Linked DNA regions of Arabidopsis thaliana. The protein of the gene in region 2 interacts with the protein of the main gene of each other region in a biochemical or structural test. Each region holds a gene or a part of one and is shown on either strand. Other genes may lie near its edges.

The links.
Region 1: the proteins of AT4G39270 (region 2) and BAM3 form a complex in vitro, tested with the Arabidopsis thaliana proteins (one large-scale study listed by BioGRID).
Region 3: the proteins of AT4G39270 (region 2) and AT1G07560 form a complex in vitro, tested with the Arabidopsis thaliana proteins (one large-scale study listed by BioGRID).

The regions. Positions count from the first base shown.
Region 1 is NC_003075.7:10,947,319-10,951,943, forward strand, and holds the start of BAM3 (Leucine-rich receptor-like protein kinase family protein), read left to right. Parts: upstream 1-2,254; 5' UTR 2,255-2,503; coding exon 2,504-4,625. UniProt on the Arabidopsis thaliana protein: Necessary for male gametophyte development, as well as ovule specification and function. Required for the development of high-ordered vascular strands within the leaf and a correlated control of leaf shape, size and symmetry.
Region 2 is NC_003075.7:18,274,210-18,278,834, forward strand, and holds the start of AT4G39270 (Leucine-rich repeat protein kinase family protein), read left to right. Parts: upstream 1-2,101; 5' UTR 2,102-2,664; coding exon 2,665-4,559; coding exon of another isoform or gene 4,560-4,625. Other genes in the region: CCR1 (cold, circadian rhythm, and RNA binding 1), read right to left, coding at 1-358, 642-749.
Region 3 is NC_003070.9:2,325,005-2,329,629, forward strand, and holds the start of AT1G07560 (Leucine-rich repeat protein kinase family protein), read left to right. Parts: upstream 1-2,310; 5' UTR 2,311-2,315; coding exon 2,316-2,400; intron 2,401-2,541; coding exon 2,542-3,079; intron 3,080-3,167; coding exon 3,168-3,649; intron 3,650-3,726; coding exon 3,727-3,871; intron 3,872-3,976; coding exon 3,977-4,048; intron 4,049-4,185; coding exon 4,186-4,257; intron 4,258-4,338; coding exon 4,339-4,416; intron 4,417-4,529; coding exon 4,530-4,625. Other genes in the region: AT1G07550 (Leucine-rich repeat protein kinase family protein), read right to left, coding at 1-28, 104-582, 764-1,301, 1,427-1,508.

The DNA.
Region 1 (4,625 bases), 7.3 Mb from region 2:
CTCTTTGTTCTTCTCAAATTTTAGGCATCTTAATAATCTAAAAACAAAGCAAAATCGAATAAACTAAAAAGAGCCCATAAAATTGCTAAAGATGGATAGATTTGTTTCAGATTTTCTCTGTTAAATAAATCAACTTAAGGTATTCCATATCACACTTTTCCACGCCAAGTACTTTCGAAGTTCAAACCCTTCTTGCTATCATATGAAAGAGATATGTATTCTTGCTAATTAATTTGTCGACTATAATTTTATAACCCACAACATGAATTTCTTCACCATTATACAACCTGGAATTACTTTATCTATTTTAGATGTTTTTCTTACAAAAATAATAATTTCCCTTTAGATCACATACCACATTGATCTGCTTCCCTAGTTTATCTAATAAATCTGATGAGTCCTTTTCATAGAAATACATATTAAAAATAGAAAAGGAGAAAAACAATCGTAAAGGGGAGATTACGAAATAATTCGATAATAATTGTAGATTGGCATGTACATATACTACTATCTTTTTGCAGGTTCATGGTGTGAAAACTTCGAGGAGTATAAGCTGATGAAACATTGGGTACAGAAACAGAATCCTTGACAGAGAAGTTATTAATTTCTTTCTTCTACGACAACAAAAAAACAAAAGTAGCTGCATGCACAATTACCAAAGATTCTAGTTACTTTGGAGTTTGGTTTGTACTTATTTAGTGGTTGGACAAAGACAATGCATGGCCTCTTAATTAAACCTGATGGATTAGATTTTGATTTTTTAGTTAATGGAGCATAAAACGTTAGAGTGACATAAAGGTACGATGTTTAATTCAGGGTAATTATATGATTTATAGCTAGTACATAAATTCCACCCGAAATAAAACAAAAATCGATTCATGCGTTCGACAAAATGATAAGAGTGAGACAGATGGAAATTTAATATATTAAAATAAAGTATTTCAGCAACATGTGATATTGTGTGTTTCTTAATTTTATATTTTACGATTTCTAAGGTTTTCTTAAAACCCTTCCAATATTTTTTTGTTTTTTTTCTTTCTTAATAATGTTTTAAAATTATTTTGCTTTATTATTTTATTTTTCTAATAATCGAATAGAAAAAATAAATTTAATATGGTTGCCTTTAATGGACTGAATAGACATTAATCACGTAAGAAAAAGCATTGATCTTCAAACAATAAGCTTAAATAGTAGTTATTTTTTGATTCGATAAGGTAATTTGGTTTTACTTTATTTGTTGTTTATTAAACTCACAAATTCATTCAAATTTGGATTGCTTAAGAATGTGTTTTTCATCTTAGTTCAATTTATTCAAATTTGGATCACCTATGTAGAGGATTTCCATATTTCTACAAAGTACAAATCAAAAGGGGAACACAACAAATTTCTATGAATTAATTATTTATTAAAAAGTTATCAACGAAAACGTCTCCCAAGCGTATATACAAAATTAGCATATGCCATAGGTAAATTTAAAGCTTGAAAGTATCATTTTATTTGCAGGAAGCGGCAATTTAGTAAGAAGTACTCAAAGTATCATTTACCAAAAGTATATGGTTTTGGGAAGAGTTGTTAGGGATGTATTCTTTCTAAACAGATGATATGACGATGTTCTTGAAAACTAATGTTAAAGACGGAATCTCTGGCATCTTCACTCGGGAGATATATTAAACCGTTGATTGTAGTTAGCCATGTACTTAGCTTAGTGCACAAATAATCTGCTGCAAGAAATCTTTTTCTATTATAATATCTCTCATTTAAACATTAGAACATATTGTTTAACTTGTTCTTCTAGAAATAAAACTGCTAATTTCTTATGGTAAACTATTTTCCTTTAGATTGCACAATCGAACTCGAAAATCTAGTGGAGACTATGTGACTATGTTTATATATATGAAACCTAAATCAAATTATCCCAATAATTGGGAGACACAAAAGAAAAATTACGAAAGAAAACAGGAAATCAAATCAAAAGATAAAGAGAAGGTAAAAAAAGGCAAGAAGCACTAATGTTTAATATTTATAGTTTTCTCCATTAAAGAAAAAGCGATGATGTGTGTTCTCATCTTTTGTGAAAGTATATATATTGCTTTTGCTTTTCTCAAAAGCAAAAGACTCATCCAACAAGAACAAAAAAAAAAACTAAAGCTCAATCCAAAAGACGAAGAATGCATTGGATACTACAACTTCTTTTTCACTTTTCTTTCAAATTTACAATTATGATTTTCACAATACAGTTTATTCAAAAATAAATAAAAAAACGAGGCATGAAAATAATGATTATCCTCTTCACTTATTAAGCCACTCACTATAAGCAGAGCAACTCCAGAACATAGTGAGCCCCCAAAACATTAAAGCATGATGATGTCTAATGATGATGATCTTCTTCGTTCCATTTCTCTAAATTTTTGGGATTTCTGCGAAGACCCTTCTTCTCTTTCTCTTCTCTGAACTTCAAGATTCGTGTCGGACAAATTTTTGTTTTTATTTTTCTGATGTTACAATGGCAGACAAGATCTTCACTTTCTTCCTAATCTTGTCTTCGATCTCTCCTCTCTTATGCTCTTCTTTGATCTCACCTCTTAATCTCTCACTTATTAGACAAGCAAATGTCCTTATCTCTCTAAAGCAAAGTTTTGATTCCTATGATCCTTCTCTTGATTCATGGAACATTCCAAATTTCAACTCTCTATGTTCTTGGACTGGTGTTTCTTGTGACAACTTGAATCAGTCTATTACTCGTCTAGACCTATCTAATCTCAACATCTCCGGCACTATCTCTCCGGAAATATCTCGTCTTTCGCCGTCACTTGTTTTTCTTGACATTTCTTCTAACAGTTTCTCCGGTGAGCTTCCTAAAGAGATCTATGAGCTCTCAGGCCTCGAAGTGTTAAACATCTCTAGCAATGTTTTTGAAGGAGAGCTGGAGACACGTGGGTTCAGTCAAATGACTCAGCTTGTGACTCTTGACGCTTACGACAACAGCTTCAACGGATCACTTCCTCTGAGTCTAACCACACTCACTCGTCTCGAGCACTTAGATCTTGGAGGAAACTACTTCGACGGTGAGATCCCTAGAAGCTATGGAAGTTTCTTGAGTCTCAAGTTTCTTTCTTTATCTGGTAATGATCTCCGTGGGAGAATCCCTAACGAGCTAGCGAACATCACGACTTTGGTACAGCTTTACTTAGGTTACTACAACGATTACCGCGGTGGGATACCTGCAGATTTCGGGAGATTGATCAATCTTGTTCATTTGGATTTAGCTAATTGCAGCTTGAAAGGATCAATTCCTGCAGAATTGGGGAATCTCAAGAACTTGGAGGTTCTGTTTCTTCAGACCAATGAGCTTACAGGCTCTGTTCCTCGAGAGTTAGGGAACATGACAAGCCTCAAGACTCTTGATCTCTCCAACAACTTTCTTGAAGGAGAGATTCCTCTAGAGCTATCTGGACTTCAAAAGCTTCAGTTGTTTAACCTCTTCTTCAACAGACTACACGGCGAGATCCCTGAGTTCGTATCTGAGCTTCCTGATCTGCAAATACTCAAGCTTTGGCACAACAATTTCACCGGAAAGATTCCTTCGAAACTCGGATCAAACGGGAACTTGATCGAGATCGATTTGTCTACCAATAAACTCACAGGTTTGATCCCTGAGTCACTCTGTTTCGGAAGAAGACTAAAGATTCTCATTCTCTTCAACAACTTCTTGTTCGGTCCTCTCCCTGAAGATCTTGGCCAATGTGAACCGCTATGGAGATTCCGTCTCGGACAGAACTTTCTGACAAGTAAGTTGCCAAAGGGTTTGATTTATTTGCCGAATCTTTCGCTTCTTGAGCTTCAAAACAACTTTTTGACTGGAGAAATCCCCGAAGAAGAGGCGGGAAATGCGCAGTTTTCGAGCCTTACTCAGATCAATCTGTCCAACAACAGGTTATCCGGACCGATTCCTGGTTCAATCAGAAACCTCAGAAGCCTTCAGATTCTTCTTCTCGGTGCAAACCGGTTATCGGGACAGATCCCTGGCGAAATCGGAAGTTTGAAGAGTCTTCTCAAGATTGACATGAGCAGAAACAACTTCTCAGGCAAGTTTCCTCCTGAGTTTGGTGATTGCATGTCACTCACATATTTAGATTTGAGTCACAACCAGATTTCCGGTCAGATTCCGGTTCAGATATCGCAGATTCGGATTCTAAACTATCTGAATGTTTCTTGGAATTCCTTTAACCAAAGCCTTCCCAACGAACTCGGATACATGAAGAGTTTAACATCAGCAGATTTCTCACACAACAACTTCTCCGGTTCAGTACCAACTTCAGGGCAATTCTCTTACTTCAACAACACGTCATTCCTTGGAAACCCTTTTCTCTGTGGATTTTCTTCAAACCCTTGCAACGGTTCCCAAAACCAATCTCAATCTCAGCTACTTAACCAGAACAACGCAAGATCCCGAGGTGAAATCTCCGCAAAATTCAAGTTGTTCTTCGGGTTAGGCCTACTAGGGTTTTTCTTGGTGTTCGTCGTTTTAGCTGTGGTCAAGAATAGGAGAATGAGAAAGAACAACCCGAATTTATGGAAGCTTATAGGGTTTCAGAAGCTCGGTTTCAGAAGCGAACACATATTAG
Region 2 (4,625 bases):
CTCCGTAGCCACCTCCCTCACGGCGTCCACCACCACCGTATCCTCGGCCACCACCGCCTCCACCAGATCCGTAACCTCCGCTACGTCTCTCGTAACCACCACCGCCTCCTCCTGAGTATCCGCCGCCACCGCCTCCTGAGTATCCACCACCGCCTCCGCTGCGGTAACCACCACCGCTTCCACCACGGCCTCCTCCGCCACCGCCGCTACCTCTCGACTGAGCCTCGTTCACGGTGATGACACGTCCATCGAGCTCTTTACCGTTCATCTCTTCAATCGCATCCCTCATGGCTTTCTCGTCCTTGAAGGTGACGAATCCGAATCCCCTTGATCTTCCACTCTCGCGGTCGTTAATGATCTGTAAACAAACAAAATCATACACATCAGCAAAAACAATCGTGGAAGGAATATAAAACAAAGCGATGAATATAAAGCAAAAATCGATCGATCTCCGAGCTCATAGAAGCAGGAAGATGAACGTACCGATGGGACAAATTAAGTAACAGTAACAAAGAACGAGAGAGAACATAGTAACAGTAATCGAATCAAGTAACAGAGAAACAGATCGGAATCAGATCCGTCGAGGATCAGAATCATCGGAATCGGCTCGATCCGGGAGACCGATCTCTCGTGTAACAGACCTTAGAATCGATAACGTCGCCGAACTGTGAGAACGTCCTTTGAAGATCTTCATCATTGGTGGCCCAGGCAAGGCCGCCGACAAAGCACCGGTACTCAACTTCAGACATTTTTTTTTGGGGAAAAGAAGAGAAATTAGGGTTTCAAAATGTAAGAGAGAGACTTATGTGATTTGAGGTGATAAGACGCAGCCTTAATTTATAGAACAGGTGTGACGTAATAACTAGGGTTAAACATGTTTTCTAGGGTTTGCTGAAAGATTTGTTTCAACTTACTCTGATTAAGATGTGTGGTTAATTGGGTTAGTGGTTAGGCCCACATCATGTGAGCATTTTCGATAACTAATGATTTTTTCTCCTCGTTTCGAGCAAAAAATATCTTTGTAAGAATATCTTTTATTCCTTAAATGACAATTTTGTCCTTCGTCTCGTCGTCATTATGTCATACAATAGTTGGGTCTGAGTTTCGTTTATTGGGCCTATCTAATTTAATTGGAAAGATTATAACTTCCGGCCCAATGAATCTGACGGCGAAATTAGTAAAACAATAAAATGAAATAATATGCAAAGACTATGACGATAATGTGCTATGGATTTACATATTTGTTTTGTCATTAATTATGACATGCAATAAATTCATATGAAAAGATTCTTATCGCAATAGCATCGTGGACATGTTACAGTCTGTAATATCCAAACTTTAGCATAGACGTTTTTTGTTGTACAAATATTTTGGTATGTTAAGTGATATTCAAATGAAAGCTAGATGTGCAGATATGTGAACATATAAATCTTTCAATGGAATTCAATTTTCAATCATTGAATATTTGGATACACTCGCTCTGTACTTGAAATATTTTGACTGTCTGAATATTATTTTTTTACAGGATTAATTATTTTGTATACCAAAATTAGACGGATGAAGAATGAAGATGTAGTAGTTATACAAAGTCAATTACAAATGGTTCAGTATCTTGATTTCGATTTTTGTGCTGAAAATGCTGACTAAAGCGTGTAGAAGAGCTTTTTCAACAAGAAATAACCTGGCTAAGATTTTTTTAAGAAATCTGATTATTAATATATCGCAGGTAATATGAAAAAGTATCGTCGACTTTTTATAAGAGTGACAACTAAATCATTTTGCTCATAATAAAGCCACAATTATTATTAGTATATTTTGGTCGTTTTAATACGAGGAAAAATAATTGTCATACAAAATTTACAGAAATGGAGTAGCATCGTAGCTCCTAGGAATTCAATTATTTATTTGCAAAACTACTAAAATGGTGGTTATCATATTAAACGTCAGCAGAAACTTTAAGTATTTTTGAAATGATATTAATTTAAGAGTTCGTTAAGCTGTCTTGGGCGGGATCGTTGAGAGTCAAACTCCTCAAACGACGCCGTATTCAGAACTTCACTTTCAATTACTGTATCTGCGTCTCGGTCACGAGATCGAACCATAAATCTTGGGAACGTGCACGTATACAACGAAAGATCCACCTTCTCTCACTTTTTTTATTTTCTTATACTTTCTTCTCTTTTCTTCGAACGGCCGCTGTTCTTGACCAGTCTGAAGCTTTCTCTGTCCAGAACAGTTCTGTAAGAAGAAGTTTTTATCAAATATTATATAAAAATATCTGTTTCGTATTATATCAGACTTTCCATCTTTCTCTCTCTAAATCTAGGACAAAAAAAAACATGGAAGAGTTAGAGAGAGAGAGAGGCAGCAGAAAATGATTGGTAAACAACAATGAATCGTTTTTGATTCTGAAGTGCACAGAGAAAAGTAATTGCCAGAGAAAGTCGCAGAGGTAACAGAGTGAAGAACCTTTTTTAGTATATATCTTTGTTGAATAATCACAAAAAGAAAGTTTCCTTTATTGATCGGATTCGAAGGAAACCCAAAAAAAAAAGAGATTTGATTATTTCCATAAATCGCGAAGCTTTTTTCCAATTGAATCTTAGGCAATGAATGGCTTTAAGTTTTTCGAAGTACTAGTCGTCACCAGGGTTTAGAGAAACCATGGTGGTTCTGAGGAAGACATCCTTGTTGGTCTTCTTCTTATTCCTCCTCTTGTTGTTAGAGTCAACGTTTGAGCAACAGACAAGTTCTCTGAATGAGAAATCGGCGCTTCTGCTGTTAAGGTCTTCTCTTGGGTTACGAAGCAGAGATTGGCCTGTAAAAGGCAATCCTTGTCTGAACTGGAACGGCATCAAATGTGATCAGAATGGTAGAGTAACTAAGATCAACATTTCAGGGTTCAGAAGGACAAGGATTGGGAATCAAAACCCGGAATTCTCAGTTGGTTCTCTCGTCAATCTCACCCGTCTAGCTTCCTTCAACGCCTCAAGGTTCTATCTTCCAGGTCCAATCCCGGCTTTGTTTGGATCGAGTCTGTTGACTTTAGAGGTGTTGGACCTTAGCTCCTGTTCAATCACAGGAACCATCCCTGAAAGTTTGACTCGGTTATCACATCTCAAAGTTCTTGATCTTTCAAAGAATGCGATCAATGGGGATATTCCTCTGTCTCTTACCTCTCTTCAGAATCTATCAATCCTTGATCTTTCCTCAAACTCGGTGTTTGGTTCGATTCCTGCTAATATTGGGGCACTCTCAAAGCTCCAGCGTCTGAATCTTTCGCGTAACACCTTGACTTCTTCAATACCTCCATCACTCGGAGACCTCTCTGTTTTAATTGACCTTGATCTCAGCTTCAACGGAATGTCAGGTTCGGTTCCATCAGATTTGAAAGGGCTAAGGAACTTGCAGACATTGGTAATTGCGGGAAATCGCCTTTCAGGATCCCTACCTCCTGATCTGTTTAGTTTGCTGAGTAAACTTCAGATCATTGACTTCAGAGGCAGTGGTTTCATAGGCGCTTTACCGTCCAGGTTATGGTCGTTACCGGAGCTCAAGTTTCTAGATATTTCTGGAAATCACTTCTCTGACATGCTGCCTAATACCACTGTCAGTTTTGATTCTACTGTCTCCATGCTTAACATATCCGGGAACATGTTTTACGGCAATCTCACACTTTTACTGACAAGGTTCCAAGTTGTTGACCTGTCAGAAAACTATTTTGAAGGTAAAATTCCTGACTTTGTGCCAACCAGAGCTTCATTGAGCAACAATTGTCTTCAGGGCCCAGAGAAGCAGCGGAAGTTGTCGGATTGCACTTTGTTTTATTCAAAAAAGGGCTTAACTTTCAACAATTTCGGACAACATGAAGAGAAGAAGAGTTCTAAAACTTCCTGGTTAAGCCACACGAAAATAGTTATACTTGCTGCAGTTGGAGGGTCTATATTGCTTATGCTCATTCTCATAGTGTTACCAATAACAGTGAGTTTCTGTGTCCGTCGAAGAAACAGATCATCAACAAGTAATCATCCTAGAGGAAGACACAACGGTGTTGGCCCATTACCTCCTGATGAAACACTTCCCTCAAGAGGAGGAGTCTCTATAAACTTTGGGAGTCTTGGATCATCATTTACCTATCAGCAGTTGCTCAATGCCACCAAGGAGTTCAGTGATTCAAACCTGATCAAGAAAGGACAATCTGGGGATCTTTTCAAGGGAGTTCTAGAAAACGGAGTTCAGATCGTTGTGAAAAGAATCAGCTTGGAATCTACAAAGAACAACGAAGCTTATCTAACCGAGTTGGATTTCTTCAGCCGGTTTGCGCATCCGAGAATAATCCCATTCGTAGGGAAGAGCTTAGAGAGCGCAACTCATAAGTTCTTGGTATACAAGTACATGCTGAATAGGGATTTACCAAGCTCATTGTTCTATAAATCCAATTCCCTAGTTGACAACGGATTGAGATCTCTCGATTGGATCACCAGACTGAAAATAGCATTGGGAGTAGCAGAGGGACTTGCTTACCTGCACCATGATTGCTCACCATCCGTCGTCCACAGGTATGAAAAACCATTCCTTTTACTCTTTTTTTACTTTCAAGCCACCATTAGTTCATTACTGATCTT
Region 3 (4,625 bases), on a different chromosome or scaffold from region 2:
CTAGCTTGAATATTCTTTACAGCAATGACTGAAACATGGTGCAAATTAGCAAGAAATAATACGTGTAAAAAGCTATATGCATATTTGTTCAAAGGCAACATACCATCATTTTGATTTGTTTCTGATTGAGGAAACTCAATGCCCGTGAAAATTTCGAAAGCATTCATCAAGGGTGGAAGAGTCGATTTCGGAGTTTTTATAAGTTGCAGACGACAAAATCCTCCCTCGCATGTCAGTGGTACATTGTTGAACATAACTTGTGCTTCAAATCTGGTAGGACGGAAAGGATCGAAATGAACTTTATTATTTACCACAACTTCGAATTCTCTAGTTTCATTGGCCTGGACTTCCATGATCTCGGCGATGTAAATATAACCGTAAACCTGGTCAGTAGCCGTCTTCAAATTCCAGGTAATGGTCATTGGATCACTGGCATTAGCGGGCATGGCGCCGGTCCTAAGTACATCTTGTGGTGGGTCATAGCCATCTATAGAATCAATAACGTGGTGACTTGTGTTTATATGCGTCCATTCTGGTAATATCAACGGCACCCAAATTCTATCATGCACATCTTGGGGATAACTGCCAAAATCAAGTTATATATTTTACTTTACATCAACTAATAACAATAATTAATACTGTATAATCTTGGTTTACGCTAGATGGCTTAAATGACAATAATATTAAAGTTTTTGTGGAGATTAAAGTTTCTGCTCATAATCTACTTTGGTTATTTATAAAGCATAAGGTGAAAATAAGGTACCGTATATAGTTGTTTGAATCGGTGAAATAGAACCGGTTATAATTCCTCAAGGAACCGGTTTGAGCAATATAAGTATCATATAGCAAGGGTCTCAACTCTATGGATGATATCATTGGTGTACTCGTCCCTGTCTTGACGAGACATATGTCCAAGATGTTAGACCTTGTGATGTGAATGATCTCCTCCAGAACTCCATCACCTGACTTCCCCATATCTATGGTTGTCCAAATATTAGGACCAAGATAGAGGTCGAATCTTGGAGAATTGTTAAGCCCGTCATAGTTTCCATATCGAAACATAACCCTGATTAGATAATTTGTGTCTTGCTTGACATTTAGACTGTAACAATTTCGGATTCCATCCGGAAAGTATCTCAAAACCGTATATGGCTTCCTGAGTTTCATAAGCAAGTCTTTTTGGACATTACCAGTTTTTCCTCCTTGAATGAAATCAGCATCGGATATGTACGTCAGATTGCTATTTGCTTCGTTGTAAGGAGACTCGTTAGAAGCTAATCCACAATCCAAACTGATGAATCCTGGTAAGACCGAAAAGGGAGAGGTACATATTGTTTTTCTTATATAAAGTTCTATCTCAAAAAAAAATTTAGAATGGTTTATTTCCAAAATTATTGTAAAAAAGAAAAACAGATGATAAAAAGACCTTGTTGATTCTGAGATTGAACAAGATGTAAGATGGATAAAGTGGCACACGCAGCAAACAGAAGCCTGGTGCAAGTGTCCATTTTTGATGATTTCTTCGTTCACAACTAACAAAACTTACTACTACCAAAGTTTTGAAATGGACAAATTTTTAGTGTTATAAGCTGCAAATGGAATTAATCATGGTGACGTCTACGTATAAATTTTGTTTTAAAAACTTAAACTTTTGCCATGGTTTTATCTAACGAATAATAACAGCTAACCACTGGTATAATATCCATATAAAATAAATCAAGACGTTAGTGGTTGATTATAAAATTTTTGAAATGAAAAATATGCAACCAGGTTATATACTCTCTATATTTTAAAAATCTCGATTCATTTGTTCACTTTTGCTTATATTCGTGGTTTGATTCTGACACGATCGGTGACTTTGCCATATATGAATATGACATCCCTTCACACACACGGTAATAACTCATTTTCTCAGGTTAATCTACTATAGGTGTGCTTGATGATAACCAATTAGAATCAATCAGTTCTACTAATTTCCACTTGCAAACCTTTTTTATAAAATTTAAACATGACACACACTTGTCAGATTTTATAATTCCACTTGAGAAAAGTCTTACCATAATCAAATTATTAGACAAATTATTTCGAATTTGGTTAGAAGATCGGTCCAACTCAATAGGTGGCTTATTGTTATTGGTATGTGAACGTTGACATATTTCCCGTTATGATCCGCCCCAAGCAGAAATATAAGTTAATAAATAATTATTTAACAATTCATCCGTTTTTTATATCCAAAGGTTTGATTTGGCATGTTTTATATTGCAAGTACATTGGCAATTCGTAATCCTTTTTTTTTTTTGGACAGAGGTGGGAAAATGAAAAACCTCCGTGGACTTCTATTGGCCTTCCTAGTTTTGTCTTTAGGCATTTCCGATTTTCTTCGAGCACAAGATCAACAAGGTATAACTTTTTTTGTTTCAGGTTTTCTTCTTTTAACTTTGACTAAACATGTTTCCTATCACAATTTAGTCATTAATTCAGTTTCCAAACTTATTTTTTTACCAAATTATTTCTCTGTTTTTTTTCTTTTGCCTTTATCAGGATTCATCAGTTTGGATTGCGGGTTGCAAGCCGATGAGTCTCCTTATACCGAACCATTAACAAAGTTAACATTCACATCAGACGCCGATTTCATCAAAAGTGGAAAAAGCGGCAAGATTCAAAATGTTCCGGGGATGGAGTATATAAAGCCATACACGGTTTTGAGATATTTTCCAGATGGAGTACGAAACTGTTATACTCTTATCGTCATACAAGGCACAAACTATCTGATCGTAGCCATGTTTACTTATGGAAACTACGATAATCTTAACACACACCCAAAGTTCGACCTTTATCTTGGTCCAAATATATGGACCACGGTCGATTTGCAAAGAAATGTAAACGGAACAAGGGCGGAAATCATTCACATACCAAGGTCAACTTCTTTGCAGATTTGTCTTGTTAAGACGGGAACAACTACGCCGCTAATATCAGCTTTAGAACTACGACCATTGAGAAATAATACTTATATTCCTCAATCTGGTTCCCTCAAGACATTGTTCCGCGTCCATTTGACTGATTCCAAAGAAACTGTTCGGTAAGCCAACTCAAAACCAATTGGTAATGAATAGATTGGTTTCCACTGGATACACTGTTCGGTAATACTTTCCATCCTTTCTCTTCAGGTATCCAGAAGATGTCCATGATCGTCTTTGGAGTCCATTTTTCATGCCGGAATGGAGACTGTTAAGAACAAGTCTCACGGTCAACACTTCTGATGATAACGGCTATGACATACCGGAAGACGTAGTGGTTACGGCAGCCACACCTGCAAATGTGAGTTCACCATTAACCATTTCTTGGAATTTGGAAACACCTGACGACTTAGTTTATGCATACCTCCACGTCGCTGAGATCCAATCCTTAAGGGAAAATGATACCAGGGAATTCAACATTAGCGCAGGCCAAGATGTTAACTATGGACCTGTTAGTCCTGACGAGTTTCTAGTGGGTACTCTATTCAATACATCACCAGTTAAATGTGAAGGAGGGACATGCCATTTGCAACTAATAAAAACTCCAAAATCAACTCTCCCTCCCCTCCTCAATGCTATTGAGGCTTTTATAACAGTGGAGTTTCCGCAGTCTGAAACTAATGCAAATGACGGTATGTCAGCAAAATCTGAGTATATATATACTTTTTTGTATATACTTAAGTGTTTTCATTCTGTTATTGTGTGTTAGTCCTTGCTATCAAGAGCATAGAAACAAGCTATGGATTAAGTAGAATTAGTTGGCAAGGAGATCCATGTGTTCCTCAACAATTATTGTGGGATGGTCTTACCTGCGAGTACACCAATATGTCTACACCACCAAGAATCCATTCCTTGTACGTCCATGGCTATTCGTAACATTAAAACAGTTTTTTGTTAAGCTCTGCATTTCGTAACATCTTACACTTTAAATGTGTGTTATGATCTTTAATTACCACCAGAGACTTGTCCTCAAGTGAACTAACTGGAATTATAGTTCCTGAGATCCAAAATCTTACGGAGCTTAAAAAATTGTAAGTATGAACACATTGCCAATTTTTTATCAAGGTCAAACACATACTCTGTTTTACCTGAATACTCTGTTTTACTTGAATACTCTGTTTATCAAGGCCAAACATATAATCAATTAATTCATTTTTGCATATGATAGGGACTTTTCAAATAATAATCTAACAGGTGGAGTACCTGAATTTCTAGCCAAAATGAAATCATTGTTAGTCATGTAAGTTACTTGGTCACTCATATGAATCACATTGCCAATTTATTATCCGAGTCTGTTGATGTTTATTTTTTACCTAGGCAGAAACTTAAGCGGAAACAACCTTAGTGGATCAGTCCCTCAAGCTCTTCTCAACAAAGTGAAAAATGGGTTGAAGTTGAAGTAAGATCTTCTCAACTATATTTAGTCTTCAATAGTTGATGGTCATTGAAATATGATATCTTAATTTGCAGTATGTCTTCACTAACACTTGATTAGCTTGTTTACAATACTAGCATTCAGGGAAATCCAAACCTATGTTTTTCCAGTTCATGCAACAAAAAGAAAAATAGCATCATGTTACCAGTTGTTGCATCACTTGCTTCTTTGGC